3 linked regions of the Danio rerio genome follow. The protein of the gene in region 1 interacts with the protein of each later gene in a biochemical or structural test. Links are inferred from orthologs where the notes say so. Each region holds a gene or a part of one and is shown in the gene's direction. Other genes may lie near its edges.

Region 1 (10,642 bases):
TGAAAAGTTGAGCTAGTCCCAATTTCTGCAAATTTTCCTCTGAAGCGGCGCCGACGGATCCACAATGCAGTTCGGCAACGACTGACGTCAACAATTCAAAGTGAATGGGAAGCTTTGACGCTGACGCCCCGTTTGAATGGGGCTTAAGGTTTTCATGCTTTTAGTTTCATTACAGTGACTTTAGTTAAATGAGCCAATGTTAAGAAATGGAACGTTATTGTATAAAGTTAAAGATCAAAAATCCTATAAAGTCTTTGAATTTAAAATGTTGTAACTTTGAATAATGTTAAAATGTTTGTTTGTCTTTTTAGTCTTCAGACATTTCGTTCAAGAAACCACTGCTAATATACAGCAATATAGCGAATAATCTTAAAAGCACTCTAAAAGCTAAAATAATTATTTACTGTGTTTGTGAGTGCTCACTATATTGATGTTTCATGTGTTCATTATCATGATATATTGGATTATTGAATATTGACATATCTAATTGATAGACATGCCGACTATTCCAAGATGGAAAGCATGTTGACATTTTTGGAGCACTCAAATGTGACAGCTGTTCATGTATGTCTTTGACTTGAACCTAAAAGGAAGGTGATATTCCTTGCCCAAGCTTTATTATATACTCATATATTCTTATGTAGACAGTTTTGCAGAAACACTGACTGCATTTTGTCGTTGATTATCTCAAGTACAGATGATGATTGTCAGTCATTGTAAGTAAGTATAGCTTTCGGTTTGGAGGCAGTGAACAGGAATGCTCTTATTGTGTTTGTGCACGAGTTGTTACAGTCCACAGGGAAAGGGTTGTTGTCTCTCGTGTGAGAAGGTTTTGGCTGAGATCCAATGCAGAGCTGAGCAGAATCTGAGGGTTTTCCTTATATGTCTGAGAGGGAGTGCACGTATGGTGTCCCGCTGGTTAGATACAGATATAATGAAGGATTTTCACGCTTTCTCGCGTACATGCTCTCTTGGTCTATTTTTGTCCTGTAGTTATCTCTTTAGTTTCTTCTCATTAGTACTCTACTCATTCCTATTGGCTGATTTCTTAGTTTCTCCGTTTCTTACAATCTTGCTTTTTCAGCAAGAGTGCCCATTTAAAAAAATACTATAGGATAAACACTGCTGTGTTTTTAAATCCTATTATAGTGAATTAATCTGTGGTAATTCTCTAATGCAACATATATTGTAATACAGTATAAACAAATTACCTATGTACAGTTGAAGTCAAAACTAGTCTAATATTTTCCAAATCATACCTGCCAACACTCCCGTTTTTCCCGGGAGTCTCTCGTATTTCAGACCCATCTCCCGCTCATCTCCCGTATTTTGCTATCTCCCGGAAAACTCCCGGAACTCTCTAATAATCTGTTATTAGAACTAAGTTATTAAAATTATTATGTTTAGAAATGTGTTGAAAAAAAAATATTTTTGTTAAACAGAAATTAGAAAAAAAATGTAGAGGGGGCTAATAATTCACGAAGGCTAATAATTCTGACCTCAACTGTATGTCATCGCACAATAGTGTTGTCATGAGTACTGCTTTCAGCTTTGAACTACTGTGAACTGACGGTTAATATTGCTGTTTCAGATTTTCATTATCATTAAAATCATGGTTTTAACTGTAAATCCCGTAACATTACCTAATTGCAATCGCAAAAGGCTGCTAAGTAAATGCATGTTTAGACATTATATAGTTAAAGTAAGTTGTATTCATTTCATTAAAGTGTGTCCTGCACACTATTGAGTATACGGAGTTAAAGATTCTAATCATAATATCAGTCAGACAAATCTCACAACCCATTTTTGGCTTTTAAAGCAGCTTTATGCAATATTATGAAAGATAAGGTAAACATGGATCCCTGTGAAGGAGTTTTCGAAGTGAAGGTTTAACAATAAACGCCTTGAATTATCTGTAGAAACACATTTTAGTTGATGTTTTTTCATTTTAAGATACAAATCTTAGTGCAATAAGTGTGTGAGACGTGTTTTTGAACATTTTAGGTAGTTTTAACAAAAATGTAATCATTTTTGTCACTTTAATCATACTACTCTCATACTCTATACTACAATACTATAGTTTACTGTAGTAAAAAAAATCTAGAGTATTATATTGTTAATACTACAGTATGAAGGAGCCTTCATTACCAAAGTATATACTGTATGCAGTATAATACATTTTACTGTATTATGGTTTAGTAGACTGAAGGATTTACTACAAATTACTATAGTATTTTTGCATGTGAGCGGCCTTGTCATTCCACATTCTTCTGTGCAATTTTTTTTTTGTATCTTTAAACCGCTTAACAGCTAGTTGTAATGAATTCACAGCATGGTGGTTCCCAAATTCCAGTGCTGATGAGTTCATATTTATTAGGTTCTGAACAAGAAGGAGATGTCACGGTGGCGCAGTGGGTAGCACAATCGCCTCACAGCAGGAAGGTCGCTGGTTTGAGCCCCGGCTGGGTTAGTTGGCATTTCTGTTTGGAGTGTGCATGTTCTTTCAGTGTTCGTGTTGGGTTTTCTCCAGGTGCTCCAGTTTCCCCAAGACGTGGCATAGGTGTATTGAATAAGCTAAATTGGCCGTAGTGTATGAGTGTCCAAGAGTGTTTCCCAGTGATGGGTTGCGGCTAGAAGGGCATCCGGTGAGTAAAACATATGCTGGATAAGTTTGTGGTTCATTCCGCTGTGGTGACCCCTGATTTTTAAAAGGGCTAAGCCGAAAAGAAAATGAATAAATGAATGAAGAAAATGGATTAAAAAAATGAACCAGGAAAAGATTTGACTTTTTATCATATCATATAACGTTAAAATCTTAAATTGTTTATTTGTTTTGGGGTTTTTATTGTATATTTATCAATGTAATGTTTTTTTGCAATGGAAATGGATATTGTTGCCAACATGGCATTAAATAAAACAAATATAATTTGCACAATTCTTCAAAGCAGTTTTTGTAGATTGCATTTATCTGAAAATTGCCGCCATGGAGAAACTCAACCACTCCAGAGACGTGTGGGTGAGCGAATGTGCTTTTTGAAAACCCAGCCAGGTCAAATCACCAGTTTGCCTTTATTCAATCCAATGTTTATACTATTTAGGTTATTAATGGTTTGGTTTTTAAGAAATGCATGCAAAATAAATGCTTTGGAAAGTCGTTGTTTTTGTAGGTTGCGCTGTGGAAGCCCTCTGTCGTAATTCCCAGAATGCTTGGCACTGTGAAACTAATGCTTACGGCATGATGTCTCCGTTCTTTGTCCGCAGCTCACCCACTGCAGGGCTTGTGTGCCCTCCAAAACAATGCCCCCTTTAGAAAGCGCCCACACTCTCACAATCAAGGCCTTTCTTTCAGTCGCAGTCTGTCTCGCTCACTCCATCCAATAAGATGCTGCACTGACTTCATGGTTTAGGGTAGGCTGGTGTTGCTGAAAAGACACAGTTCTAATGGTGTTGATGTGTACAAGAAGACTTATTTTATCATCTAATAGCTGAAAATCATATAAAAAGTCAGAATATCCACCTAAAATGTTCATTAAATTGTTTAACACTCATTGTCTAATTTAAATTGCATGGATGTTGTTGTTGGCTTTTATACATGCAGTATTTCATACTCCTTTGAATTAAGTTGCCTTTGCCCTCTATTTCTCCTTTGACAAATCAGGGTGTATGAAGTGTCTCATCGAATTTGAATACAGACAGTGTTGTATGCTCTCTCTGGATTTTAACATTGGCTTTAGCAAGTTGCTCAGGCTGTCAGCAGTCTGTGTCAAATGTGGTATTCTCATACCTGTGAGCAAAGGGTTTTAGATACTGATAAAAAGATTCTGATTTGGCAGATTGTGTTTGTGATAAAAAAAAATAAACACATGGGTTTTATTCAGCCCACACAGACTTTGTGAACAATGTATTATTTGCAGTAATAGCTGTATGTTATTAGTCTGATTTCCTGTCACTTTAAGGATTTCCCCCAATGAATAATTCGAGGTGGTTTTTAACCTGCACAAAGTTAAATTGCTTTGTTGACTTAGTTTAGGAGTGGTCTTGATTGTAGATTTTTTTTTCTTCAACTGCTCTCAAGACTTTGCCCCGGGCTGCATCCTGAATCATTGTTATTGTGTTGAAAGAGAGTGACTGTCTTGTGGTCTAAAACTTCCCTTAAGTGTTTTTCTTTAATGCAGACGGAACATTTCAGCCATGCCAACCCTTAAGAAGCTTGAGAAATATTGCATGTCTGTACAGAGGCCCCAACATAAAAAGCTGCAATGTTTTTCCAGCTTTTCCTGGATATTTCCTGCTAGAGAATGTCTGTAACGATAGTGGTAGACCTCTAATACCTCTTCTGTTTACCCATATATGTCTGATTGATGAAGTTCTTCGTGCTTTGATTTGTGTTTTATATGTATATAAGTATATAGGAATAAGTAAGACTAAATTCTTACTTTACCAGTTTGAGATGTGCACAGCACCTTGTCCCAACTTGGCTTGGCCCAGTGTGCCCTGTGTGTGGGATGAGCACGAAGAATTATGAGCTTGTGGAGAGTGTTTTCTGAGTCAGCTGTGATCCCTCTCTTTCTCATCCCACCCCAGGCGGTCTAGGTCCTTCTGACAGATCAGTAGCAGCTGAGAGAGTGCTGTTTGGGTCTATCCGAGAAGTGGGGGTGGGTGCCTACTGGATCACATGACTTCGGCCACCCTACCCTCACCTTTGCTTTCAAGAGCACCAGGCGTCCTTATCCAATCATGCCTGGAATGTAGCTTGCCACTTGGGCTATTTCTGCTGTTTGTCGCTATCAGACTGCAGCTTGAACAGTTTGACACATGGGGTAGTTTCTTTTTTTTTTTTTGATTTTCCTATCCCTGGTTCTTTCTAGCTTTTTCTTGCGCTCTCTCTCCTCTCTCTCTAAAGCTTGTGGGTTGAACTTTTAAGCTCCCTGGCAGAGCTTCACTGGTAGCTGTGAAACGAAACGCAGCCTCTGTCTGTGAGTAAGGGAAAGAGAGAGAAAGAGGGTGGATGAGCAAGACAGAGAGAGCAAGAGCAAAAGGGGAACAGACACACTAAACAGTGGGTGAGACAGATCCAGCAAAGGCTGGACAGAGACAGATCAGGGCGGACAGGAGAATGTCTCACCGGCTTCGGTTGTATTTTGGATCTGGTCGCAGTAACACTGCTCCAGAGTTGGAAGAGCTGAATGGGACAGTGGAGGAGGAAGGTGACATAAGCTACAACAGTACAGGAGCCATGGTGGTCCATGCACAACCACGTAACGGAGGACATGCAGAAAGTCCAGAACCAGGCACAGTTGTTGGTTCGGATGCCTCTCTAAAGCGAAGCTCTTCCATGTTCATCCCACAGCTCCAGGGTCAAGCTGAGTCACGGACAACCAAGAGCACCTCTGTTCAAATATCTCTTCAACGCACAACTGCCCCTCATGAAGATGCATTACCCTTTGATCCACCTCCAGCGTACCCCCAGGATCCAGCTCCACCATACACTGAACCTGGTGAAAGTTTGCCCTTACCTCCACCTCCAACCTACTACAAATCCTGCCAAAATGTGGAACAAACTCAAAAAGATACTGAACCTAAGAGGCAAGTCTTTTGTGTCCGGCCATGTGATGGTCAAAATGGTTATACCCATGGAAATCCTCAAGGGATCACTATTGGAGGTGTCTGTATTAGAAGAAGATCTGCAGATGGCTCGGATGTCCAGCAGTTCAGGATTATGCCATATAGCGAGGATGGGCACAATGGGCACAATTGGTCTGTCCAGCAATGCTCAGACAGAGGTCCTGGTGCACAAAGACTAATTTTTCAGCTCCAAAAGGACCAAGGACGGCAACCAAGCTCTACCTCTCAGCCTGACGTGAGTGATTTAGGCATCACAGGTTCTAAAGGTTCCCGCTTGGTGCGGTACCCCAGGATTCGACTTGAGCGGAGCACGTCACAGCCATTGCAGCCTAGAGGAGCTCCTTCACGCCTTGGATCAATGCCAAACCTTCATGCTCCTATCTCAGAAATGGAAACGGAGAGTGATTTTATTGAGAATGGTGCTCAAGGTTGCACTTTCAAAATTAGGAAGGAACAGAATTCCCAACAACCGAAGTTTAAGATTTATTTCAGCCAGGGCGGCGAGCACAGTCCCATCCTCGAAAGGAATATTAGCATTGGAAAGGCGCCTACCTGCAGCAATCCACAGGTACTGCTGAGTGTCTAAAGTTAAGTAATATTTAATCTGACCGTGAAGTGCATAGTTTTATTAACAAGCAGTTATTTAGTTGCTCAAACTATGCTGTAGGGTGTAGAAAGCTTTAAGTGTGTTTTAATAATTTGTAAGTGGCTGGAGAATAGGAAAAGCATATGAAAAAAATAGGTAGCTGGATTTTCAGTAGAAAGAGGAGGTGGGTTCAGAAATGACTTATTCACAACCCACATTCTGGGAAGTGAAAATTCCATGAAAATAGGGGCCAGGAGCAAGACGTAACCGCACTGTCTATGGTTTCCTAACAAGCATACAAACCCTTAAACTCAAGAAGTGGAAATGTATGGGGACTGGAAGCATTTTCAGACTGAACTTCATTCATAGTGGCCACTTGTCTTTTTCCCCCTCTCTTGAAGAGGAGCCTGTTCTATCTTTAGTCCCGTGTCAAGTGTTGTTGTTGGTTTTGAAAGCAGCCTTTCTCCTTTGGACTGGGTTACCGTTCATCTCTTGTGACAGCTGTTCTGTGGTGATTAAGGTCTAATATATGGTTACACATGCTGCTGTTCTTGGTATCTCAAAGCTTTTAATTTCCCAACCCTTAAGTGGTTCCAAACTTTTATGAATTTCTTTCATCAGAACTTTCTGATTTCTATTTCTTTCTAAACTATTCCTTTAAGCACTTATTTTTTCCTCATATATTTGCCACTTTTTGTCACTCCCTAGAAGTTGAGTTTTTTTACAGGCTTTGAAACTCCTTTCAGTGACTCAGAGTAGTGCTGAAAATCTGTAAGTGTGTGGGATTTGTCAATTTGTCACCAGTTGTTACTAGTACTAGAACTAGTATCTATCCTTTACAGAAGTTTAGGTTTGCGTTCGAAAGTTCTGGAATCTCTAAGACGTCCACATTTTAGAATATTCCAATGTCGAAATCAGCACTGTCACACGCATACCTTCAGCTTCTGTGGCAGCATATGTATTTCCAGTACCTGCTGAAAAGGCTTTACTGGAAATGAGTCAGTCAAGAAGCTAAATGTTCCAGCAGCAGAGTTCATCAACTGAAGTGAACCGCTCTCGCGCAGATCTGTTTACTTCATGCTGTCATGACTGCTCTTATGAACGCCTCAAGCAAGTCTTTGTTGATGCTGGATTATCTCTGAGGATAAGTCTTGTAATACATCATAACCTGTGGAGTTCTTGTTTACAAACAATACAGAATACAATACACTTCTGTTAATATTTGATTTTAACAAGATGATTAGCAGAAAACAATAGCTTTCACATAACCATATCACATTTCGGAGATCGTCCATTGCATCCATCCCCTTGTGGGAAGCATGGATTTCCAGTAGACTTGCCAGTGCTCTCAGATTAAAGGGGCACATTTTTTTTTTTGGAAATAGGCTCATTTTACAAGTCTCTTTGACATAAACAGTTGAGCTTTACCATGTTTGAGTTATTCGGCAATCTCCAGGTCTGGCAGGAGCGCTTTTAGCTTTGCTTAAAGATGTTGTTTCTAGGTTGATATAGCTGGGAAATACACTACCTGAAAATTGTTCTCAATCCCAGTTGTAAGAGTAAAGAATAATAACTTGTCTTCTAGTTGATCATTTGGAAAATTGGTAACAGTTATATTTTTTCAACACATAAACTGCAGAACACTTATTGGAACCTGGAAGGGCCCAAGATTCTTATAGAAATCCATCAAGTTTGGTGTAGGAAAAATCATGGTTTGGGGTTACATTCAGTATGGGGGCGTGCAAGAGCTGCAGAGTGGATGGCAACATTAAATGGCTGTGGTATCAAGACATTTGTGGCAAATTCTTTAGCAGGATAGCACTCCGTCTCATGCTTCAGCCTCCACATCGAAGTTCCTGAAAGCAAAGAAGGTCAAGGGGCTCCAGGATTGGCCAGCCAAGTCATCAGACATGAACATTGAGCATGTGTAGGGTAACATGGAGATGAATCCATAGAATCTTGGTAAACTCTGGGAGTCCTGCAGGAACACTTTCCTAGCCATTCCAGATGACTTTATTAGTAAGTTATTTGAGCCATTGCAAAGATGCATGGATGCAGTTGTCCCAGCTCATGGGAGCCATACACTATATTAATTCTTTTTCCACTGCACCATAACTTTATATTCTATACTGTACATTATTTCTGTTCAGTGAAAAGACTTTTGTCTAAGCAAAGTCAGACCTTACTGTCCTAATTAAATAATTAAACATCAAAGCATGATTTAATTTTGGTAAAATAAGCATAATCTAGCGGACTTTGCCTTTCATATAAGCCACTTATAAAATTAATGATCAACTCGAAGTAAAGTTATTATTTGTTGTTCCTAAAACTTATAATTCAATTGCAATGTAATAATCAAGGAACTTTGGTGCAGTATATCATAGCTGCTTGCAAAATTTGCCTTTATCCCCTAGCACACATGTAACTAAAGAAGAGAAACTCTACGAATTTTTAGGCACAATGCAAACAATCTTTTAGATTCAAAGATATATGCTAAGCTAAGCTTAAAGTGCTCCTGCCAGAACTGGAGATCAGCTGAATAGAATTAAAAATTGAACTGTTCCAAACAGTCTCACGGGTTTTAGTAAGCATGATGAGGGGATGTGGGGGCAAATCTTGCTCAAGTCTGCTGTGGCAGCTTTCTTCCAGAACTCAGGATTTAGTGGTTTAAAAAAAAACCTGTGCTAACAAGTAAGAAAAGAACAGTGAGAGAGTTTGAAATTGAGGATACATGAAAGAGTCAAGCTATGTCAGCATTTCCAATTGCTGTGGTACCTTGTTATTGTTGTCGGACTGGAGCACTGCACCTAAATATAAGGGGGCTCCAGACTTATTTTAGCTTACTTCCAGGTTTATTTTAGCATCTCTTCATGTTGCGGCTCAGTTGTCGGAAGTTTTTCCCCTCAAGTCCTATTTTCATAACCCCTGACCCTGACCTTTGCAGTCCAACTATGTGACCTCTGAAGCTTACAAAGTAATACGCTTCTTTTTTCTGTTTTCCTTCCTTTTGATCTGTTGTTTGGTTCAATTTGTTTGTGTCTCTTTTTAAACATGGCCTCTTGGTTCTAACTTCCCTGCTGTCTTGATTTCTGCTTGTTTTGAGTTTCTGTGCTTTTCGGCCTATTTAACGGCTTGAGTCGTCTGCTAACTCAGCTCCGTTCTGGACGATGACTAAGCAAATGCTTATTTTTAACACTCAGACCAATGTGTGGGAAAAAGTGCTTTCAAGGTCATATAAAGACATGATATCTTAATGCTCTCGAAGTCGCTGTGAAGTTTAAAGTGATCAGTTAAATCATTTTTACTTCTTCAGAGTATCACGTTTATTGCAGTAGGATAGGAAAATAGTTTCCTTAGCGACTAGAGCTTTTGCCAAGACACAAGGGATGCAAATCTTCAACAGCGTGACCTTTAAGACTCAAATCCCTGGTGGAGCTTTCTAGGTCATTCCTTCGTACCTTTTGGGTTAATGAATTTAGCTTCTGTTTGTGATTCACAATTGCTCTTGGTGGCTGTAACCCCATTTGACTCAACTCCTTAACATTTAATCAGAGTAATGTCTTAGACATGGTGTGTTTTCCATGATGAGGAGGGGATTGAAAATGTATTTGTGGTCCTGTTGTTCACTCACCATCAAAAATAGTGACTCGTACTTAACCTTTCCACAATAAAACGTTATTGACCATAAACTGTACCAATTCTTTTGTTTTGAGGCTAACTTTTACTTTTACGTCACTTTACTTCACTTTACCTTACTTTTATTTTACTTTAAATTTATTTTAGTATTTATTTTATTTTTATTTTGTTTGACTTTTTTCTTCATTTTAGTTTTTTTTTTTACTTTTGTTGTTTATTTTTTACTTTTTGTTTTACTTTAATTAATCTAAATTTGATTATGCTTTATTATGTTGTCATCTTTTTTTTAAATATTTTGACTTTAATTTTTATTTAGTTTTTCTTCATTTTATATCCATTTGTTAGTTTATTTTACTTATTTTTTTTACATTTATTTTACTTTTGTTTATTTTATTTCTTAAACTTTTATTTTACTTTATATTATTAATCTCAATTTTATTATACTTTATTATGATTTATAATTTTAAATTTACTTAAATGTGTACAGAAATTTATTTAGTTTTTTCTCAATTTTATTTATTTAACTTTTTATTTTTATTATTTTATTTTACTTTTATTTTGTATTTTTATTTTTACATTTATTTTTATTTTTACTTAGTTTTATTTATTGTACTTTTATGTTTATTTAGATTTTTTTTTTACTTTTATTGTACTTTATATTACAAATCTCAATTTTATTATATTTTATTACTTTTTATTTAAATATGTTTTACCTTTTGGTTTAGTTGTTAAACCAAAGTAAACCAATTTTTTATTTAATATTTAAAAAATCATTTTTACTTAATATTTAAAATA
Region 2 (9,971 bases), on another chromosome or scaffold:
CTAAGTCTTGAACCAGCCACCTTCTTGCTACCCACTGTGGTAGCCCTTTTTCCACATTCGCTATATACAATATTGTTTTGTGATATGCTTTTAACTCTGTTTGATGATTCAATTTTTGTTGTGTTGTGGATTGTGTGGGAGATAAAACTACACATTCCTTTCTGGCCAGTCATTGCTTGCTGTTTTAATGACATGCATGATGTCATCAAGAAGTTGGAACTAGCAACATAGTTTCAGACACATAGGCTGTTTCTCAATATGCATTCCTCAGTGGTCTTGCGTCCTCATGTTCTCAGGTTTTCATGTAACATCATCATCAACTGCCAAAGTTCATTTCCAATACCAGGGCTCAATAATAGGGACTGCCCAATGGCCCGGGGCAGTCCTCCAGAGAGATGCTCGGGACAGTAAACAGAATTGTTTTTGGCCCAATCAGGCCAGTGCTACCATGTCACTAAATTTTAATTTGCCTGGACTACTTGTGAATTTAACGCAAATAGTCTTAGAATAAAGAAACAATTTATGATTTAAGCCTTTAAATTCTACCTTCTCTGTGAAGTCGTAAACACCATATTGCTTTTTGTTTCCTCTTATCTGACTGGATGTTGTGAGCATGTTATTGTTGTTCATAACCTGGTAAAAACAAGTACAGCGAAGAGACGGCAATATTACTGCAACATAAAATTAAACTAAAAGTAAACGTCTGAAACAGACATTTACATGGGTACAACACAACGAAAAAAAGTGCTGTTTTACATAGTTTGCAGTCAATTTTAAGTCAGGCACCTTTTGTTTTGCAATAAAATACCTGCACACTTTCCATACTGCTTCCATACCAAAAAAAAAAAAAAAAAAATATATATATATATATATATATATATATATATATATATATATATATATATATATATATATATATATATATATATATTATCACGCATGCTAATCATTTAGTTTTAAAGTTGAGAAGCATGCTTGACAGACTTCATAAGAAAAAGATGATTAATTCTAGCATCCCAATGGCCAGTGTTGTTTACAACTTTGTCTGAATTGTAGGCTAACTTTGTTTCATTATTATTATTAATTTATTAATGTTGTGCAGTCTGGTCAGTATGGTCAACTGATAGTACACAGTTTTGTTTAATTCATAGGCTATATTGAGAAACATTAATAATTTAGAAGCACTTAGTCTTTTTAAAATCTGTGTTAAGTGACTGGTAGATTGCATTGGTAGTCTTAATGTTTTTCCATCCATCCATCCATCCATCCATCCATCCATCCATCCATCCATCCATCCATCCATCCATCCATCCATCCATCCATCCATCCATCCATCCATCCATCCATCCATCCATCCAATAATAAAGAATGTAAAATGACTGTTGTAACATAGTAATCAGAGTTATTTAGTGCAGTGTTTCTCAACCACGTTCCTGAAGGACCACCAGCACTGCATGTTTTGGATGTCTCCTTTGTCTGTCACATCCATTACAGGTCTTTCAGTCTCTGTTAATGAGATGATGATCTGAATCCGGGGTGTTTGGTTACGGAGACAGTAAATGTGGTGGTCCTCCAGGAACGTGGTTGAGAAACACTGATTTAGTGAATTTAATTTCATCTTTAAAAAATAGAAATGTCAAAATGTTCTATTCTTAAAATGTATATTTATTTTTGCACGTGTAGTATTGCCTACTTAGTTACATTCACTGTATTTTAATTTTATTTTCATTAATATCAAGATTGTTCTATTGGACAACATTGAACAAGAAAAAAAAGAAGATGAAAAACCAAATATAAAAGCAAAAAAACTAAATATAGAGTAGGGCTGAGTGATATAGCAAAAAAAAAAAAATCAGTTATTGTCTTTAAAAACGTCATGATTTTCGATAATGTCTACCCCGCCGTTGATGCTAGCATCCAACATCAATTTCTTCATGATAAAAATGGAGAAGGACAGCCTTAAAATCAAAATCAAATCACTTTTATTGTCACATCATAAGCAGCACGTGTGCTGTGATGAGTGAAAAGCTTAGGTGCTGGCTCCAGACAGTACAAAACACAGCAAATACAACGACAGTCCAAAATACAGTAAGTGCAAAATACAAACAGTACAAAAACAGCGATAATGTGAAATTGACAGCGATATGTACAATGAATAGGCGTCCACATTGTTGTAGGCAGTATTGTTTCAAGTATGAATTGGTTCAAGTGCAGTGCATGCCACATATTGATGGTGTGCAGTGAGGGTTATGGAAGAGTCTGTGTGTGGTGTGTTAAGTGTTCATCAGCCTGATAGTCTGAGGGAAGAAGCTTTCCTTCAGCTGGCTGGTGCGTGATCGGATGCTGCGGAACCATCTGCCTGAGGGTAGCCGAGAGAAAAGTCTATGGCTTGGGTGGCTGGAGTCACTAATAATTCTCTTGGCTTTCCTCATGCACCGCCTGGTGTAGATGTCCTGGAGGGAGGGAAGTCCAGCAGTTCGCACAATCCTATGTAGGCCTTTGCGATTGCTGCTGGTGCTATTTCCATACCAGGTGGTGATACAGCCAGACAGGATATACCTAAGAAAGGATCTTCATGCATTGTTCAGCAGTATTTTGGTTTCAAATCGTGTGGCAGGTGCAAATGGTAAACCAGAATATGCGACTATCTGCAGGCTTTGCAAGAAAAAAGTAAAGGTATATTTCAATCCAGCTTAAAATACAGTAGTATAATATTTTGTCCATATGCCAGCCCTAATCTGTAATGTAATCAATAATCGACATGGTCTTAGTATGCATCATAGATATATACATTAGATGTCGCCTACCCTGTTGTTGTCTATTGGAAGGAATGCGTCAATAGAGCCGCCATTTTGGAACAGGGTAGCGCTGCTTTGAAATGAATGCGGGACCAAGGTACAGTGGAGGACTGTGGCCATCCAAAGCCAGAGATATACACATATATCTATGATCGGGAGTTTTCCTGGACGTTAGAATGCAATTTTCTTTTTAATTACGAAAATTTATAATTTTTCATCACTTTTCTACATTGATGGATCAGTGATCGCACTGGCATTCCTGACAAAAAGCTTGTGTTTGTGTGTATGGAAATGTACTATCCACCCTCCATGTTAAATTTGATCTAATCATGTCCTGAAACACAGCTCCTCTCCTGCTTTCACTTCTCATACTGACGGAGGGAGTGATTCGTTTGTGAATGAATCTCCGTTATGAACGACTCTTTCACTAGCCGATCATACAAGTTTCTGGCACCGCAGCATCTCGTTATCATATTTCTTTTGCACAGTTTGCTGATTTTATTCAACAAAACTAGCGTGTGCTGAGTGTTTAGTGCGAGTTGGAGCTACTTTGCCTTATGGTGAATGCAGTAAGTGACTGTATTATCATCAATATTGTTACCTGTTTAGCACAAAAGTTCAGAACATACAAAAACGTAAAAAAACTAAACCGTACCGATGAAATGTTCTGCCTTTGTGTTATGCTTTCTTTGTTTGCTCGTTACTACACCCGTAGACTGCTCTAAAGTCCCGCATCTTGACGTAATAACACTGTCTTGACTAGTGCGGTTGAATGACACTTCTCCTGGGAGCACTGTACCAATGTGGCGGCGCTATTGACGCATGCTCAGGGTCCCTATGCGATATCTAGTGTATATGAGTATGCATCCTTCTTATTGCTTCTTTAATCCATGTTAGTAAATGTTTACTTGAAGCTAATTCTACTGGCAGCAAGTCAGTGCTTTTCTTATTTTAGTATTTTTGGTGAACACTGATTCTGTGCTGTTTTAGTCAAAACAGAGATAAGATATATTATTAATCTCTAGTCTGGCCAGTTTTAAAGTATTTCAGTGCTCACCACTAGAGATTCTTGTCTTCTCGATGGCTGTTTATGTATTTATGTAATGCTCATGAAGGTTGTCTACTGGTTGTCTTCAATGCAGAGCAAGAAAGCGCACGTGATGATAACCGTGTCGTTATTCACATGCAGACTTCATTGAATCTCTAATCCCATTTCTATTCACATTTCATCAAGGCTAGCCGCTGAACCTTGAGCATTGACCTATGCATGCAGAGAGTTCTGTGGCTCTCAGCCCTGTCAGGCGGCCTCAGATACTATCAGGTGGTGGTGTGGTGTTGTGAAAGATTGTGTCCCAACTTGATCTGCTTAACTGGCAAGCCATTGGTCATCATTTCATTAGTTGTTGTTGGAAGTACCCACTCTAGTCTGAACCCTCTGTAGGATAGTCAATGAGCTGTAAACAAAAGTTGTAGTCATTTTCTGGCCATTGCCGCACGTTTCTTTTGTTGTAGATGTGTGTAACATGGTCTTTATAACAGATTGAGTCTGTGAATCAGACTCATTTCATCAGGTTGTGTCCACTCGTTTGGACGATGCTGACGACACATAAAACAGGTGCTGCTGAAGGATCAGTCTTGTGCCTCCGTCCCGTGGTTTGCATTACCGTTGCTCTCCTGTTACTGCGTGAATCTCGCTGTTGGCAGACAGCTGTGCATCATACTGATCTCCGATGTGCCAAATGCGTCCCTGCAATCTTGAACTGCCATAATAACCAGAGACCGCAATGCTCGGAAAGACATTTTCAGGTCACTTCATGCGGATTAAGGTTTAAGCCTTCTCCATGTTTTATTCAGTGCCTGTTTTCTTGAAGTTTAGCTTTACTGATTGTTTTGTTCTCTGAAGGGCGAGGGCGGTGAAGTTAGGCCACCCAGGAGACCGACTTGTTGACTCGACTTGTTGACGTGTTCTTGCAGTGTTAGATGATATCCTCCTCCCTTCATTCAGTACATTGTGGTGTCTATTTAGTAAACATGAGACACAAGGACTTAGGCCCAATACCAATTCTACCCATTAGCCCTTCCCCTTACTTTTACCCCTCGTTTTACGCGGTCAGGTGAAGGGCTGTCCCAATTCTATTTAGCTTGAAGGTGTAGGACTAAGGGGAAGGGCTAGGTAGCCCTTGAAACAGATTTTCCAGGACCACATTAAAGACCAAGAGGTACGAAAATTTCCCAGAATACTCCATTTACAAAGGCAACATGGCTGCATGCGAGAGTCAGGAGGTCTACAAATACGTATTTATTGGCATTAAGAGTTTTCACAACTTTTTAGCTTTCCAAAAAAAAAAATCGAATGGGGATTGGGCCTCAATCTTAAGGGGTTCCTGTTATGCTTTTACACTTTTGACTTGCATTTAGTGTGTAATGTTGCTGTTTGAGCTAGGAAAGAAGTTAATAAAGCACTCTATATCTGTTATAGTGAACAAGGCCTGAATCTCTATATCACTCTAAGTTACTCTATATCAGTAAGAACTCTATCCCCCGGTTTCACAAACAAGGTTTAAGGCTAGTCAAGATTAAATTGCATGTTTCATCGGTCTCAACTCAAAGAAAAACTTGCGGTAAGATGTCTTAAAATACGTCAGTGTCATTTTTTTTGTCTCCAGGTGAACACCAGTGATATATTTTTCTAAGGCCATTTTTATAAATGTGGCTTAAATAGCCTTATTTAACTTAGGCCTAGTCCTGGCTTAATCTAAGCCCTGTTTGTGAAACTGGGCCTATATCTTTGGTGGATGAGAGAGCTTAACGCACTGGAATTAAAGGCTGATGTATACTCCTTCGTCAAGTGCACGCATATATATTCGCACAACCTACATGTGGACGCATAGCCCTTACAGTGGCGGTCACCAACGTTGACACGTACCTCTCAAAAAATAAAACTACACAACGCAACAACTCGTAGCACAAGCTCCGTGATCGATTGGCTTGGTAGCGCTGATGAGTATGGGTGGAGGTGAGAGCCGCACGAGCCCGATGGAGTGAGTGTTTACAAGTGTGGAGTCCCATGAAGGAGCTCTAGATGGAAACTGTGGCTTTGAACTCTATTTTGAAGATCCAGGCGCAAGGTCCAAGGCGCAGCGATTTGTTTTAAAACTATTTCTAAATTCAGTTCTAATAAGTAACATAATAATAATAATAATAATAATACAAATAATAATAATAATAATAATAATAATAATAATAATAATACAAAAATGTATACAGTGCCCTCTGGTGGATTTGTCATCTAAAACATGCAGCAAAACAAACCCATAGCAATGTATTTTATCTTCTGTTAAAATGTAGGCTGAGGAACGTATTACTGGGTTGAACATAATGGTGTGTCCAAGAAGACTGGAACCATTGATGACTCAATAACTTCATTTATCTGAACTGATCTTCAAACTTTGCAGTCCTTTGTTTTACATCCACAAACAGTAACGTTACACACTACATGATAGATCATTTCATGGAAATAAAAGCATAATGGTGCACTTGAACAACTCTTAATGTCGTCTTTCTTTAATAGTTGTGTTTGTGTTCTTCCTCAGTTGCACAGTGAGGATGACTCCTCTGAATATTAAAAACACTGTGGCCTTTAGTTATGTGATATGATGTGTAAAGAATTGGGTGCATCTGAAATAACGGTGCACTAGAACAACTCAAAGTGGTCTTTCTTCAGTCTGAATAGTTGTGTTTTGTATGCCTCCTCAGTTGCACAATGAGGATGACTCCTCTGAAGGGGCCGCCAGTGCTGAACCGTCCACATCCACCCAGGCCGTTGGCGCTTTGGAGGGAATCAGCAACCTAGCAGTGGATACAGAAGCTCCACCTCCTCCATATGCAAGCGTGGCACTTGGAGCAACAGCTGCACCAGGTATGGAGATCCAAAAAGATTGATCATTTCCTCATTTGATCTGATCTGATTGATCATTAAAACCCTCGGCCAGATCACACGATTTTTATTGTCGGTTATGAAAGTCAGATTATGTGGTTATTGTCTTGATAAAATTTTGATTTGTCATGGGAATCAACTGTGCCAGACTACATGTTCCTTCACGATCAGTTATTCCGGGACGTCTACGATGAGCGTTATTTCCTAAAGCAGTCACAAGTGTTGCAATAACGATATTTCTTACCTCAATTTCAATATTTTTTTTTTATCTTATTTCAATCTCTGTAAACACTGATGCTTGCTGACAACTAGGCTGCATTATTTAAAGGCATTTGTTATGACATTGATAGGGTCAAACATATATTTTCTTTTTAATATTAAGATATTTTCATTTAAATCTAAATGTGTATTTTTCAGCCATGGGCTGCTTATTAAACACTCCCTTACCTGAACTTGCCACGAATGAGACGGAGAAAATGAAAGCACATCAGCACCGAGGAAAAATCAGATGCTTATGACAAAATAATGATATATTAAAAAAAATTTGCAAATATATGACAGAGGTGGTGACGCAGTGGGTAGCACGTTCGCCTCACAGCAAGAAGGTCGCTGGGTCGATCCTCGGCTCAGTTGGCGTATCTGTGTGGAGTTTGCATGTTCTCCCTGCGTTCGCGTGGGTTTCCTCCGGGTACTCCGGTTTCCCCCTCAGTCCAAAGACATGCGGTACAGGTGAATTGGTTAGGCTAAATTGTCCGTAGTGTATGAGTGTGTGTGTGTATGTGTGGATGTTTCCCAGAGATGGGTTGCAGCTGGAAGGGCATCCGCTGCATAAAAACTTGCTGGATAAGTTGGTGGTTCATTCCGTTGTGGCGACCCCAGATTAATAAAGGGAATAAGCCGACAAGGAAATGAATGAATGATTGACAGAGGTTTGTGATACAACAGTTACAGTGGAGCATTAAATCCTTATTTTCCAAGAGCGAAACAAATCATCCACCAACACAGTTCAGTAGTGGATGGGCACAAAAAAAGAAAAAGAGAATAATTTGTAAATTTTTCTTGGAAAGAATATTTGATTTTAAACAAGTTTTGTTTGTTATAATTTGTATCTTAATTTTAATGTAGTTTTTGTTGGTCAGTTATCTACCAGTCCGCTATATACTTCAGCCACCCATTACTAGGCTAAATATGCAGCCTATTTTTTGATTACTTGACCCGCTGAATGAAGGCATCACCGTTCATCTAACTGTAAAATTATGTGCTCCTATTGGCCATTGTCACCCACGTGACTGAACTGTGACCAACAGGAAAGAAAATGAAACATTCTAGACTTTCTGGGATGGTGTCCTGAGAGGTGGTATCAGTTGTCGTGAACTATGCCATATTAAACGAGAAGAAAGGATTGAATCTTGTGTCACAACACCCATTTGTTTTTTTCGACTCCCTACATCAAGGAAATCGTGCCGAAATCATGACAAACTCATGTGATCTGACCGGGGCTTAAGACAATACTGTGATTAAGAGTCAAACTTTTGATGACCTTAATTCGATTTCTGCTTAGTTCCATTATGACTTTAGTCGGATTAAGACATGTAGGCCCAATCCCAATTCTATTTTTGTACCCCTTCCTCTTTCCCTTGGCCCTTACAACAGAGGGTTAAGGGGAAGGGCTTCAAAAGTTACCCCTAAGAATTGGTGCAATACTACAACACCAGCACACGGCATCAAATGTCCTCGCGATTTCTTGCTTCATATGAGAACAGACGATCGCGACTGCTGGAGTGATTCCAGTTGTGTTATTTTTTGGTATTTATCTTCAGGAAATCACTGAAGGTATATATTATGTTATCATAATGATCTAATGAGGCAATAAGATCGTAATATTGTGCATTTAACACAGTGGCCATGCTCATCAATGTAAACACACAAAACAGCCTTAACATTATAGCAGACACTGTAAACAGCTTATTGACAGCCACTAGTCTTTTTTGACAGGGTATTCCAGTGTCATCGAGTGTCAGAATGTTGTGGGACTGCTGTACAGGAGTTATTATTAGGGATTGCAGATCGCTAAAATTATGCAATTTTTTAAATTTTTTTTTTTATTTTTTAATTTAATTTTTTTATTTTATTATTATTATTTTTTATTATTATTATTATTATAATTTTTTAAGTATGACGGTAAAACACGAACGAGGTTATGAATATAATAAAATGTGTTTGTTTGTTGTAAAAATTAGTAATAATGACAAAAAATACTAATTTGTGGATCTAATTACTTCCGGGTGCAGCTGTTGCTGGGGTATTCTGGGAAATTTTTCTTACTTTTTTCAAGTGTGGTTCTGAAAAGTCTTCGTTTAAAGAGGTGTATACCCCTTGCCCTTAGCCCTACGCCTTCAAGCTAAAGAGAATTGGGACACCACTACCCCTTCAAGGGCACGCGCAAAATGAGGGGTAAGGGGAAGGGCTAAGGGGTAGAATTGGGATTGGGCCGTGGAGTGTTTACATGGTATACCCTTAATCTGATTATTGTATTAAAATCAAAGTATTAGTGTCCATGTAAACTTACTTGATTCCATTGAAAGAAACTAAAGTTTTTCCTCTCACTAGAAGTAATTCGGTTAATCACAGCCATATATTTATTCAAAAGAGATGTACTGTAGGTGTTTTATCCAAGCTTTAATGGCAGGGAAAGTCCCTTAAACTTGCGAGCGGTCATGTATGATGTATTTCTAAGTGGTTATATTTTCGCAATTTCACAGGAACTGATTCAGAATTTCCGTATAAACAGATCAACCTTTTTTTTGTGTGTTGTGCAATGCAGTAGGGCCTTTTTTGATGCATGCTGCATCATGTCTGCTTGTGAAAGATCAACTATTTATAAAGAATGATCATGTGACTTGCATCCGCCATATGCTCTGCAAATGGCAAAAAAAAAAATGATGTAAGGACATTTTTGCCGAATTGTCATGTTTCCATTAGGCAGATTTTCAATTCACTACTTAAAGTGGGACAATTTGGCTGAATTTACACTGCACTGTTCAAGTGACTCAATTCCGAATGTTTTTTTTTTTTTTCTTCTGTCATGTGGCACAGATCGGATATGGCCCATGTACTTGTAAGCAGGAACAAATCACATGGATTCCGATTTACTCAAATCAGATTCATGCCTTGTTCACTATAACAGGTAAAAAGAATTAATAAAGGAACTCGGCAGAAAAGAAAATGAATGAATG
Region 3 (10,526 bases), on another chromosome or scaffold:
ACTTTGACAGAATATTGGGGTTTTTGAATCCAATTATTATTGCAAGAAACTAAATATTTTAGAAGACATATACTGAGCAAACAGTGGTGTGAACAGTGTTCACAATTGCCTGGAGAGCAAGCTTCTTGATACAAAATGGATGCATGGGCCAAAAACTCAAATAATTCAGGATGAAGAGTATAACATACACATCCTCCTCCTCCTCCACTGTTAACAAACAACGTCACAATTTTACATTGACATGTACATCATCATGCAACAGGTGCTGGTGCTCCAGACTCACATCATTTTCCAGACAACGTGCAAAATAGCCATGTTGTAAATAAGGTCTTCTAAATCTTCATGCACAATCAAATGTTGAAGAACCATAGCAACTAATAATAGACTGCCTATATTTGGCCAACATAAATGTATTTAGACTAAAAGCTTTATGTTTTGCAAAAAAAAAAATAATAATAAAATTATGGCAAATTGTCTCTGAAACAAATGTGTTACATTGAGTACGGTATTAACCTAAAAATGTCCAAGCGCAATTTGTTTTCCTGAACTTCTCCGATTTCAGTTTTGCATATAGGCCGAATTGACGAGAATTGCGTAGTATCATTTATACTTTTGTTTTAAAAAACATTTATAACAGCTGGTTGCAGTAAAATTTAATTTTGCTTTAAAATGTGTGCTGTTTGTATGTGGTTTATACTGTGATGAGGAGATTAGCTGTCGAATATGAGAAGAGGTGCGCGCTCTGAAGTTTACAGCACCGCACGCTGTCATTAAATTAGCATTACGCGTCTGAAATGATTTGATGAAGTATGAGACTCAAGTACCGGTGTAATGATTACTTGATAATATTTGTTCAAGTAGAGTTACGTGCTTACCAGTAGAGATATATAAAACTCGACGTTTATTTCCGTGTTTTAGTAAGTGAAAGCACTTACGAAACTATAAACAAACAAACAAAACGAATAGTTTCAGGAAAGGATGCGTTTACTTACTTATTTAAAAAAGTAATACTACACATCTTATAGATACCTAGATAGATTCGATGCAATTGTAAATGTCTTATTTTACTACGTTAATTTGTCGTAGATACCTTGCTTCCTTTCGAGAAACTTTACACTCAACCTAGCGACAAACACTAAAAAGTTACTAACTGCTTCTAAAAGCACGCAATCAATATAATTTAAGGTAACTTTTACAAAATAAACAAAGAATAAAAAACACATTTTTAAAAGCTATTGTAAATCATAAGTAAGCATTAATTGCAATCCTATCCTCAAGGATGCAAAATTTACTTAAATTCATTAACCAAGACAAAATATTTGAACGAAGGCAACGTTAAAAAAGGCAATTATGAAATATAAGAATGATATGTTAAACTACAATGCAAATCAAACAGTATTTAGATATCTTACCAATGATTTGGACAACTCACTCGAAGAGATTTAAAAGCCTTCGCTTTAAGCAGCTCTGATATGTTTATATCGATCCTTGAGAGACTCCGGTTGGACAGACCAAACCCAGTGCAAATGATCCCTGTGTACACTGGCGTTTGGCAAAGAGCTGCACCTCCGGCTGATGTTCCGTCTGTGTTTTGATAGGATCGGCAAAGCAAAATTAGGAATGTTACTATGGCGAAGGCTTGGTTCATGAATGGTAAACACCTGCGCTGACGTTGATTTGTATCCTTCGTGGGGCGTCCAATTGCAGACGTAATTAATATTAAAGAGATAAGTCTTCTGTAGATTTAAACAAATCAACAAGGCCGACTGGCCGCAGAGAACGCCTGGTAATTAATATACATGAGATCATCCTTTAGCATAGTAATATTTACTCGTTCGTGTAGAGGAATTAACATGGAGAGCCACGTCGCTGACGTGAAATGTCGCAGACTCTGAGATCATTCTGTGAGGACGAAAAAAGGCTTACCATACAATATCAGTCTACCCAAGGCAAAAGAAGTACAATTTAAAATATTAAATGATATATACCCTCCTAATAGGTTTTTACACTTTAATTTAATTTTAAAAATTCACCATGCCTTGCAGTTCAATCATTTTGGAAAAAAATAAAGAATGTGAATGCTGTTGACTTTCATATTACAAGATATGGATTTACTAGGATTTTTTGCACAATTTGATAAATATGATCATTGTATAAGCCAAATATTTCATTCATAAATGTAGATATTTCAAAACACCTACTCATTGTATTTATAAAAGAACTTTTATAAGTCTTTACAAAATATAATTTTTAATCTTTTCGGATGCCCTGGCTAAAATAAAAACAAAAATTGCCTTAAAAATGCATATTTGTATCATATAACTTACCATAGCCGATAACTGTTATACAATGATTTCTTTTTTTATGTTTTTTCACTCCCAATTTTATTTTAGTTTGAATGTTTTTTGTAATTCACATTTTTTTTGTATTTTATTATTTTGTGTTGAGCCTTCCATGTGTGATACAATTTGTAAAGTTGAATGCCATTTTGTTGTATTTGGATTTTGTATTTCCAATAAAAAAAAATATCGTTGCTGGTTCGAGCCTTGGCTAGGTTCGTTGGTATTTCTGTGTGGAGTTTGCATGTTCTCCCTGCGTTTGCGTGGGTTTTCTCGGTTTCCCCTGCAGTTCAAAGACATGCGGTACAGGTGAATTGGGTAAGCAAAATTGTCCATGAATGTGAAAGAGTGTGTATGGATGTTTCCCAGAGATGAGTTGCAGCTGGAAGGGCATAAACTGCATATAACATGCTGGATAAGTTGGCGGTTCATTACGCTGTGTTGACCCTTGATTAATAAAGGAACTAATCTAAAAAATAAACTAATGAATGAATAAATAAAAAACAGTTGTTGTGCACAGTTGTTAAAATGTTTTCATTCTCAAGTCAAGATATTTCAGTAGATATTTTTGTCCACTTGCATGGAAAAAAATAATTTGTCAAATGCCTGTGTCAACTGCTTTGTTACCAGCATTATTCATATTTATTTTTTTATTTCCACTGTAGAAATAAAGTAGCTACTTTTATGTCTTACTAACACATTAAACCAACAATTGATGCTGACACAATATTTTATTGTTAGAAAAGGAAATTGACATTAAGCCACGTTTAGTGTGCATTGTGCAAAAACAATATTTTGGAGAAGTCTGGCATCAAAAATTAAGAGTGCTATTGAGTGATACTGCATAATAATTCAGTAAGAATGAATCAGGGACAAAAATGCCCACTATTAGTTAATAAATAATAATGGAAATTTAAAATGGGACTCCTGTGTTTTTTTATTTTTATTACCAAGATGAGTTTTATTTTAAAGGACTTAAGTTTATTTCTGATGCATTCAGCCGTACAAATCTATTTGTATAAATGTATTGTTTGACGGACCTAAATGAGGCTAAAGTTTTCTCAAATCTGAATTAACTACAGTTGATTTGACAATGTGCTTGATCTAGAGTTCTCAAAAGGCAACATGGCAGCAGTTTATATGAGAAAGCAATTGAATGCTAATTAACCATATTTTAAAACTGTATTTGCTATATATTTAATTGTCTCCCTAATCTTATTCTGTGGCTTTAATATAGAAGGGCAGTTTCAGTCTTAATCTCACCCATTGACAAGATAACACAAATATAAATGCAAAGTACACAACTGTTAAAGATAATATAAAGGTCATCGATAGAGAAAATAACATCAAGTAAAAATCTGCAGTCAATTGGCATCTGAATTGATAGATGTATGAATAATGTGATGGCCAAATGTGGTCACACATACTTTGAAGTTGAATTACATTTTACCCATTCAAGGGAATACATAATCACCACAATGAGAAGTGAACACAAACACACACAGATACGAGATACAAACAACTGTCACACAAAGCTCCAAGAAGACTTTTGTGTACCAAACATCTGTCAGATTATGCCGCATGTTAAAACATTAACATGAAATGAAAAACATTTGTATGTTGATTGGGTTTCTGACTTTAAAGGCTGTAAATGTGTTGTGTTAGATGTCATGTAAAATATATTTTTTTTTTTCATTGTTTAGGTTTTTTTTCACATTTTTATTGGATAGTGGAAGTTGAGACAGGAATGTGTGGGGAGCAATCAGCAAAGAACATCAAGCTTAGACTGATTTAGGTCACCCCAAGCTCTTACTAGCTACTGACACTGAGCATATAAAATATCTCAATTTGTATTCCGAAGTTGAAGGTCCCAGGGAGTTGTAACAACACAAGGATGTTAAAGGTTAGTTCTACCAAAAATTCTGTTAGTAATTACTTATAACAGATTTTTTGGTAGAACTAACCCTTAAGGGCACCTCAGTCTCGGGTACTGAAAGTGGAAGAGAGCTCTGTTCATTCCCTGCCACACTGACAACTGGTATGCAACTTTTCAAGCATGGTTGATTTAACTTAATTTCAAATTGTTTATCAAATGAAAGGTGAAAAACGAAAAAAAGTTCTTATTAATAGATTTATATATATATATATATATATATATATATATATATATATATATATATATATATATATATATATATATATACACACACACACACACACACACACACACACACACACACACACACACACACACACATATATATATATATAGCATACAACACACCAAACAATTGTATTATTTTTAAACACTGTATTATTCACCATAGTGTAAACTTTTTATTTGTTAATTTTAATATATATGCTTTTTGCTGGCTGTATGTGGGCGGAGTAATACACAAAAGGTAAAGAGGCTGTACTGGTGCTGATATTACTTAAATATATCACGGCTATCAGCCAATCAGATTCGAGGACCTGACAGAACTGTTGTATATATATAAAAATAACTCAGATTTAGCATGGTATTATAATGGTGGTGAATACATATTGTATGCTACAAACGATTTATCTTCATGTTCCTGTTAGAATAATCAAAAAGGACCCATGTGATTTAATACTTGGTTTAAATAGTGTAGGCCTAAATTGTTTGCAAATTCAGTGAAAGGGGTGATGATGGACCGTATGCTCTGAACGCATCACGTGGGAGTAAAACAGATGCATCCGAGCTTTAGCAGCACGACATCATGTGACAGCACCACATCATATGGGAGTGAAACTAGATGTGAACGCATTCTGGATCTGTCAAGACTGAGCTCTGCTTTTCTGCTGCATAACACATCCACCTGATTCAACAAAGAAGGACAAACGCAGTGCTGTAGTGCAGTGTTTTAGTGTTCCAGGCTCTTATTTTGTTTACCGGTGCTTTTCTGGTGCTTTCCGTACTGTTTTAGGAGAGAGAGAGGGAGGGAGAGAGAGAGGGCGAAGGAGCGCAAGAGGGGTGTGAAAGTGAAGCTCTATCATTCTTTGCGGACTGGAGGCTCAAAAACAGCGGAAGAGAGAAGGAGAGAGAGAGAAAGAGTGAGAGAGAGAGGAATCAATCAGCCATGGCAAATATCGCTGTGCAGAGGATCAAGCGAGAGTTTAAAGAAGTGCTGAAAAGCGAAGAGGTTTGCAAAACGCTACTTTACTATATTTTCCTGCCCGTTAAGAACAAACAGAAGGACTTTTGGCGATGAACACACAAAACCCAATGAGCTAGCCTAGCATGCTAAGCTAATGTTAGCATGAGCTGTCATATGATGGACTTAAGATACGGAAGTCACACTTCTGACAAATTTGCTTCTCTCGATGTAATAAAACGAAAACATAGACCTAAATGTTTAATTCATTCATGAACATGTCAGAGTATTGTTAAATTTGTGCTGGCACACATCGAGCTTAAGCCATGGAGCTATTTGACATAGTTAGCCGGCTAGCTTCACCAACACTTCTATAGTCTGCAATAACAGCACTCGCACTCAGTGTTTTAAGGTTGGTTTTCTGTTTTGAAATGCCCATTAGTGGTTTACTGATCGTGTTCCTACGTTTTTGTGTGTGTTGGTGTCAGTTAACAGGGCAGCTAGGATGTTCTTTTTTTAAGTAATGCAGCACCTTTGACAGACAGCATTTTTGGGAATCATAGACTCATATCATACTGTCTTTTAAGGGTGCTTATTATGTTCAGAAGACAGCTTCATAACTTGACTATACCGGTTGTTTCTTTGTTCAAGCAACTATGGTACTCCTTACTAAATACATTTTTGTTTTGCTTTTTAACAGACGAGTAAAAATCAAATAAAAGTAGATCTGGTGGATGAAAACTTCACAGAGTTAAAGGGAGAAATAGCAGGACCGCCAGACACACCATATGAAGGTAATGAGAGCCTTTACATGATGTTTCTTTAATGTTTGCTTGGAGATTAATGCTGGAGATAAGATTATAACAGGCTAACGTTTTTTTTTCTCACAGGGGGAAGATATCAACTAGAAATCAAGATCCCTGAGACGTATCCATTTAATCCACCCAAGGTAATTCAACAAGTATTCTTTCTGCTGTTTTTACATATAATATTGCCAAAATATTTTACATAGACATACTATTAAGAAAAAGGAATGTTATTAATATAAAAATAAGTAGATAATAGTGTAACATGGAATTAAAATAACACGATGAATGAATGAAAGGGGATACAAATGTTATTTATCCAAAATAAATATAAAAATATATTTTTTTATTTTGCGATATATATATATATATATATATATATATATATATATATATATATATTGCAATATGAATACAATTTTATCAATGACTTAATAACTCAATTTTTAATCTTAGATCAACTGGAATGACTCTGCAGTGGGAGTGCATCTCTATAAAATCTAAAATTAATAAATAAATAAACAATTGTTGTGATCTTTGCTATTTGCAGTGCATTTCTGTATTTGCATATGTTGTGAGTATTTTCATACATGACAATCTGTAAATGCAGTCAAGACAAAGATGTTATTCAAATAAAGGGGTTTGTTGTTTCCCAGGTCTAACAGTATTTAAGTACAGTAACTGAATGATAAAAATAAAAACCATTCAATAAGGTCACAAATAGTTCAAGTTCTTATACCCAAATGCTTTTAAAAACATTAAACAATCACAGGCGTCAAAAACATATGCACATGATGAACTATAATACAAACTCATCATTGCCTATCATGCGATGTGACTATTGCAAATGATCACATTGCGAAATCGATGCTAAAGCGATATATTGTGCAGCCCTATTATGAAGTTAAAAGTTCCATAACATTTGCATCTGGATGATCTTTGTTTATATTCATTAAGGCAGTAGTGGGTTAGTAATGTTCAGTAATCGACTGTACTGCTGTAATTTAGTTGTCTGGATTTGATTAGCATGCAAAGCCTTTTAAAGACATCGGGTTAAAGAGTTTAAGTATTTCACTTAAGTTCAATATTGATTCACATTTAGAATTAAGAGAGAAAGCTAAAAGTAATACTTTGTGAACTAACCAAACTAGACATGAGAAGAAGGATCACATGAACAACTGTTAAAGTGTTCAAGTAAATCTCTCTTCTCTTTGTCTTTAAGTCTAGAGGGGTCATTGCTAGTTTGGAGGAAAAAAAATAAAATAAAAAAAAAAAAGATCCAGATTTTATATTATTGACATTGATTATTTTTTTCCTTTGCGCCAGGCTATGATTAGTCAGAGGATATCAGACATGTTTGAAATTTTAAACAGATTTTAGAACATATACATTATCATTTGTCTTCAAGTAATGATATGAATGTTTCGTCTGCTGTTTATTATGTTCCAAATAAAATGAAAGTTTATTAACGTGTAATTCTCAGTCGTTTGATCTGCAATGCCCCAACAATTGATTAATAAACCAGTAAGTAACAGTTAAAAAAAAAGTTGCAGCTGAACCTAATCTTGCACTTACTCTTGGTAACATTTAAATGCCTTCTTGTATTTGAATATAAATTGGCAATCACAAAGTACTTACACATTTCAATTTATTTCGATATGAAAGCAGATATCCAATGTGTGACTCCTGTTCTGTACATTTTTTTTAACTGCTGGGAAACCTTCTAGAAGATATTTAAATAGACAGAAATCTTTAGTCAAGGATGAGACACATTTTGAAGTCTGATTCAAATTACATGCAGTGTTTTTACATGCATAGAAAGCATATTAAAATGTTAGCTTTAATATTAATAATAATCTTTTAATAAATGTTGCAATAATGCCCCAAAGGGTGGCACGGTGGCTCTGTGGTTAGCACTGTCACCTCACAGCAAGAAGGTCACTGGTTCGGGTCCCGGCTGGGCCAGTTGGCATTTCTGTGTGCAGTTTGTATGTTCTCTCTGTGTTGGTGTGGGTTTCTTCCGGGTGCTCCGAATTCCTTTATAGTCCAAAGACATGCGTGATAGGTGAATTTAATAAGCTAAATTGGCCATGGTGTATAAGAGTGTGTGTCAATGAGAATGTATGGGTGTTTCCCAGTACTGGGTTGGGGCGACATGCTCTGCATAAAACATATGCTGGAGTACTTGGCAGTTCAATCCCCTGTGATGACCTCTGAAATAGACTAAGCTGAAGGAAAATGAATGAATAATGCATATATTAGGTTAAGAATAAAAGCTTATCAACTACATTTTGTGGTATTTTAAATTATTAAAAACGTCATCCTAATACATGAGTTGGTAAAAGAAAACTGGCAAAGATTTACAATTTTTTTTTTATATAGAGGCAACAAATGATTCCTGTTTTAAATGTTATAGACAAGATGTTTTTGTTTCTGAACATTTGTTACATTGAAAGACGTGATGAATGGAGAAAAAGGAAAGAATATTAATTGTACTCATTTTTTACTCTTGAGTCTCTTCAGTCCCACCTCAATTTCAGATTATTGTTCATTGATGACAATTCTGAGTGCATTAACAAGGCAAAGAAGATCATTCAGAATTTAATATCAACTCGCAGCAAATAAATATATCATAAATTAAAATGAGTTTTGTCATCTTTTTCAGGTGCGGTTTATTACTAAGATCTGGCATCCCAATATAAGTTCTGTTACCGGGGCGATATGTTTGGACATTTTAAAAGACCAGTGGTGAGTGCTTCATTATCATGACTCATCATTTAATTTAATGGTTCAACTAAAAATGAAAACTGATTCAAAGTTAACTCCAAATTAAGTAGTTCCTAACTTTAATGGGTTTCTGTTTTCTGTTGAACACAAAATACAATATCATGAAAATGTTGAAAACCTGTTGACATCCATAGTTGCAAAAACAAATACTAGGGATGTCAGTGGTTACTGGTTTCCATTATTCTTCCAAATATCTTGAATTGTGTTCAACAGAAAAAGGAATGTCCATCAGCTTTTAAACAAGTGGAGGCTGAGTGAATGATAGCAGCATTTTCATTTTGGGTGAACGAACCCTTCAATAATTTTGACACTGCTCTTTCTTTCTCTCCTTCCTGTTCCCTTTTCAAATGATTGTGTCTTCATATCCTGTGCACAGGGCTGCTGCTATGACTCTGCGAACAGTTCTGCTCTCACTACAGGCTCTGTTAGCTGCAGCAGAGCCCGATGATCCACAGGACGCTGTGGTAGCCAATCAGGTACAGTCAAATATGCACTGTCAGTGGCTGCGTTCGAAATCACATACTACTCGAGTAGGTTATTCATCTGAATTTACCTCATGATAGTTAGAAAGGTACGTTTTAAATAGTACAATGCGTGAGTATTATGAATGATTAGAATCATAACTAAAACCTTAATATGTGAAATAAAAAAACATTATCTTTTAACTTTTATTGAATGTGTAAAATGCAAATCTAATTAGATTCACTTTATTTGGTAAACAAAGCAAGTCTCTCGTATATCTACTAAAAGACTGAAAATATGCACTGTATAAAAATCAAGTGAATATTTTCATATTAGTCAATTTTACTGTTATTGATTAAAAACTGAATATAGATTTACAAACATTTACACAAGTAAATAAACAATTAATGATGGGCTAAAAGTCTGCGGAAATAAACAGAATTAATGATGGGCTAAAAACCTGCGGAATTTTGCGCGCACAGATTTCGTGTGGGCCTACACATGACCTACCTGCGTCAGTTGATTTGCTTTGTCCATTCATTAATTTCTCTTACGTGTGGCATCATGGGATAGCGTTGCATCTATTTGATGTGCACTACAGCACTAAGCAATAAGTACTTTTCTTGGGAAGAAGTTTGTTTTGTTTCTAGTCCAAATATCTACATTGCACACACTGAGGAAGGCATTGTGCCGAAACGTTGAATCAAACGTAGAATGTAAAAATAAAAACAGTACGAAGCAATTACTTGATAAGTGCGAATCATTTCCTTTTTGAATAATAGCATTGACAAGATTGATGCACCAAAGAAGTTTCTTTTAAAAATGAGCATGTAGGCCAAACTTCATTAGTCCAAATATCTAAAAATTTCGAAATCACAAAGCATTTTCTAGACAAGCAAAGCATATTGTATTGTCCTGTTTTCCCTTTTGACATAAGATTATTTTGCTTAGCCCACTGGCAGATTATTTAACTTTTTTTTTTACCTTAATTTTGACATATTTCTTAAAACAAGACA

Evidence for each region.
Region 2: of the proteins of nedd4l (region 1) and ndfip2, one has a biochemical effect on the other in vitro, tested with the Homo sapiens proteins (2 studies listed by BioGRID, with this or other methods). The link is inferred for Danio rerio from reciprocal best matches to the Homo sapiens genes NEDD4L and NDFIP2.
Region 3: the proteins of nedd4l (region 1) and ube2kb form a complex in vitro, tested with the Homo sapiens proteins (2 studies listed by BioGRID). The link is inferred for Danio rerio from reciprocal best matches to the Homo sapiens genes NEDD4L and UBE2K.

Annotation. Positions count from the first base shown.
Region 1 is NC_133196.1:12,329,579-12,340,220, reverse strand, and holds the start of nedd4l (E3 ubiquitin-protein ligase NEDD4-like), read left to right. Parts: upstream 1-4,796; 5' UTR 4,797-5,116; coding exon 5,117-6,193; intron 6,194-10,642. UniProt on the Homo sapiens protein: E3 ubiquitin-protein ligase that mediates the polyubiquitination of lysine and cysteine residues on target proteins and is thereby implicated in the regulation of various signaling pathways including autophagy, innate immunity or DNA repair.
Region 2 is NC_133176.1:6,779,034-6,789,004, reverse strand, and holds part of ndfip2 (NEDD4 family-interacting protein 2), read left to right. Parts: intron 1-6,554; coding exon 6,555-6,717; intron 6,718-9,971. UniProt on the Homo sapiens protein: Activates HECT domain-containing E3 ubiquitin-protein ligases, including ITCH, NEDD4, NEDD4L, SMURF2, WWP1 and WWP2, and consequently modulates the stability of their targets. As a result, may control many cellular processes.
Region 3 is NC_133176.1:24,892,605-24,903,130, forward strand, and holds the start of ube2kb (ubiquitin-conjugating enzyme E2Kb (UBC1 homolog, yeast)), read left to right. Parts: upstream 1-4,987; 5' UTR 4,988-5,440; coding exon 5,441-5,503; intron 5,504-6,155; coding exon 6,156-6,249; intron 6,250-6,345; coding exon 6,346-6,404; intron 6,405-8,926; coding exon 8,927-9,009; intron 9,010-9,424; coding exon 9,425-9,524; intron 9,525-10,526. UniProt on the Homo sapiens protein: Accepts ubiquitin from the E1 complex and catalyzes its covalent attachment to other proteins. In vitro, in the presence or in the absence of BRCA1-BARD1 E3 ubiquitin-protein ligase complex, catalyzes the synthesis of 'Lys-48'-linked polyubiquitin chains.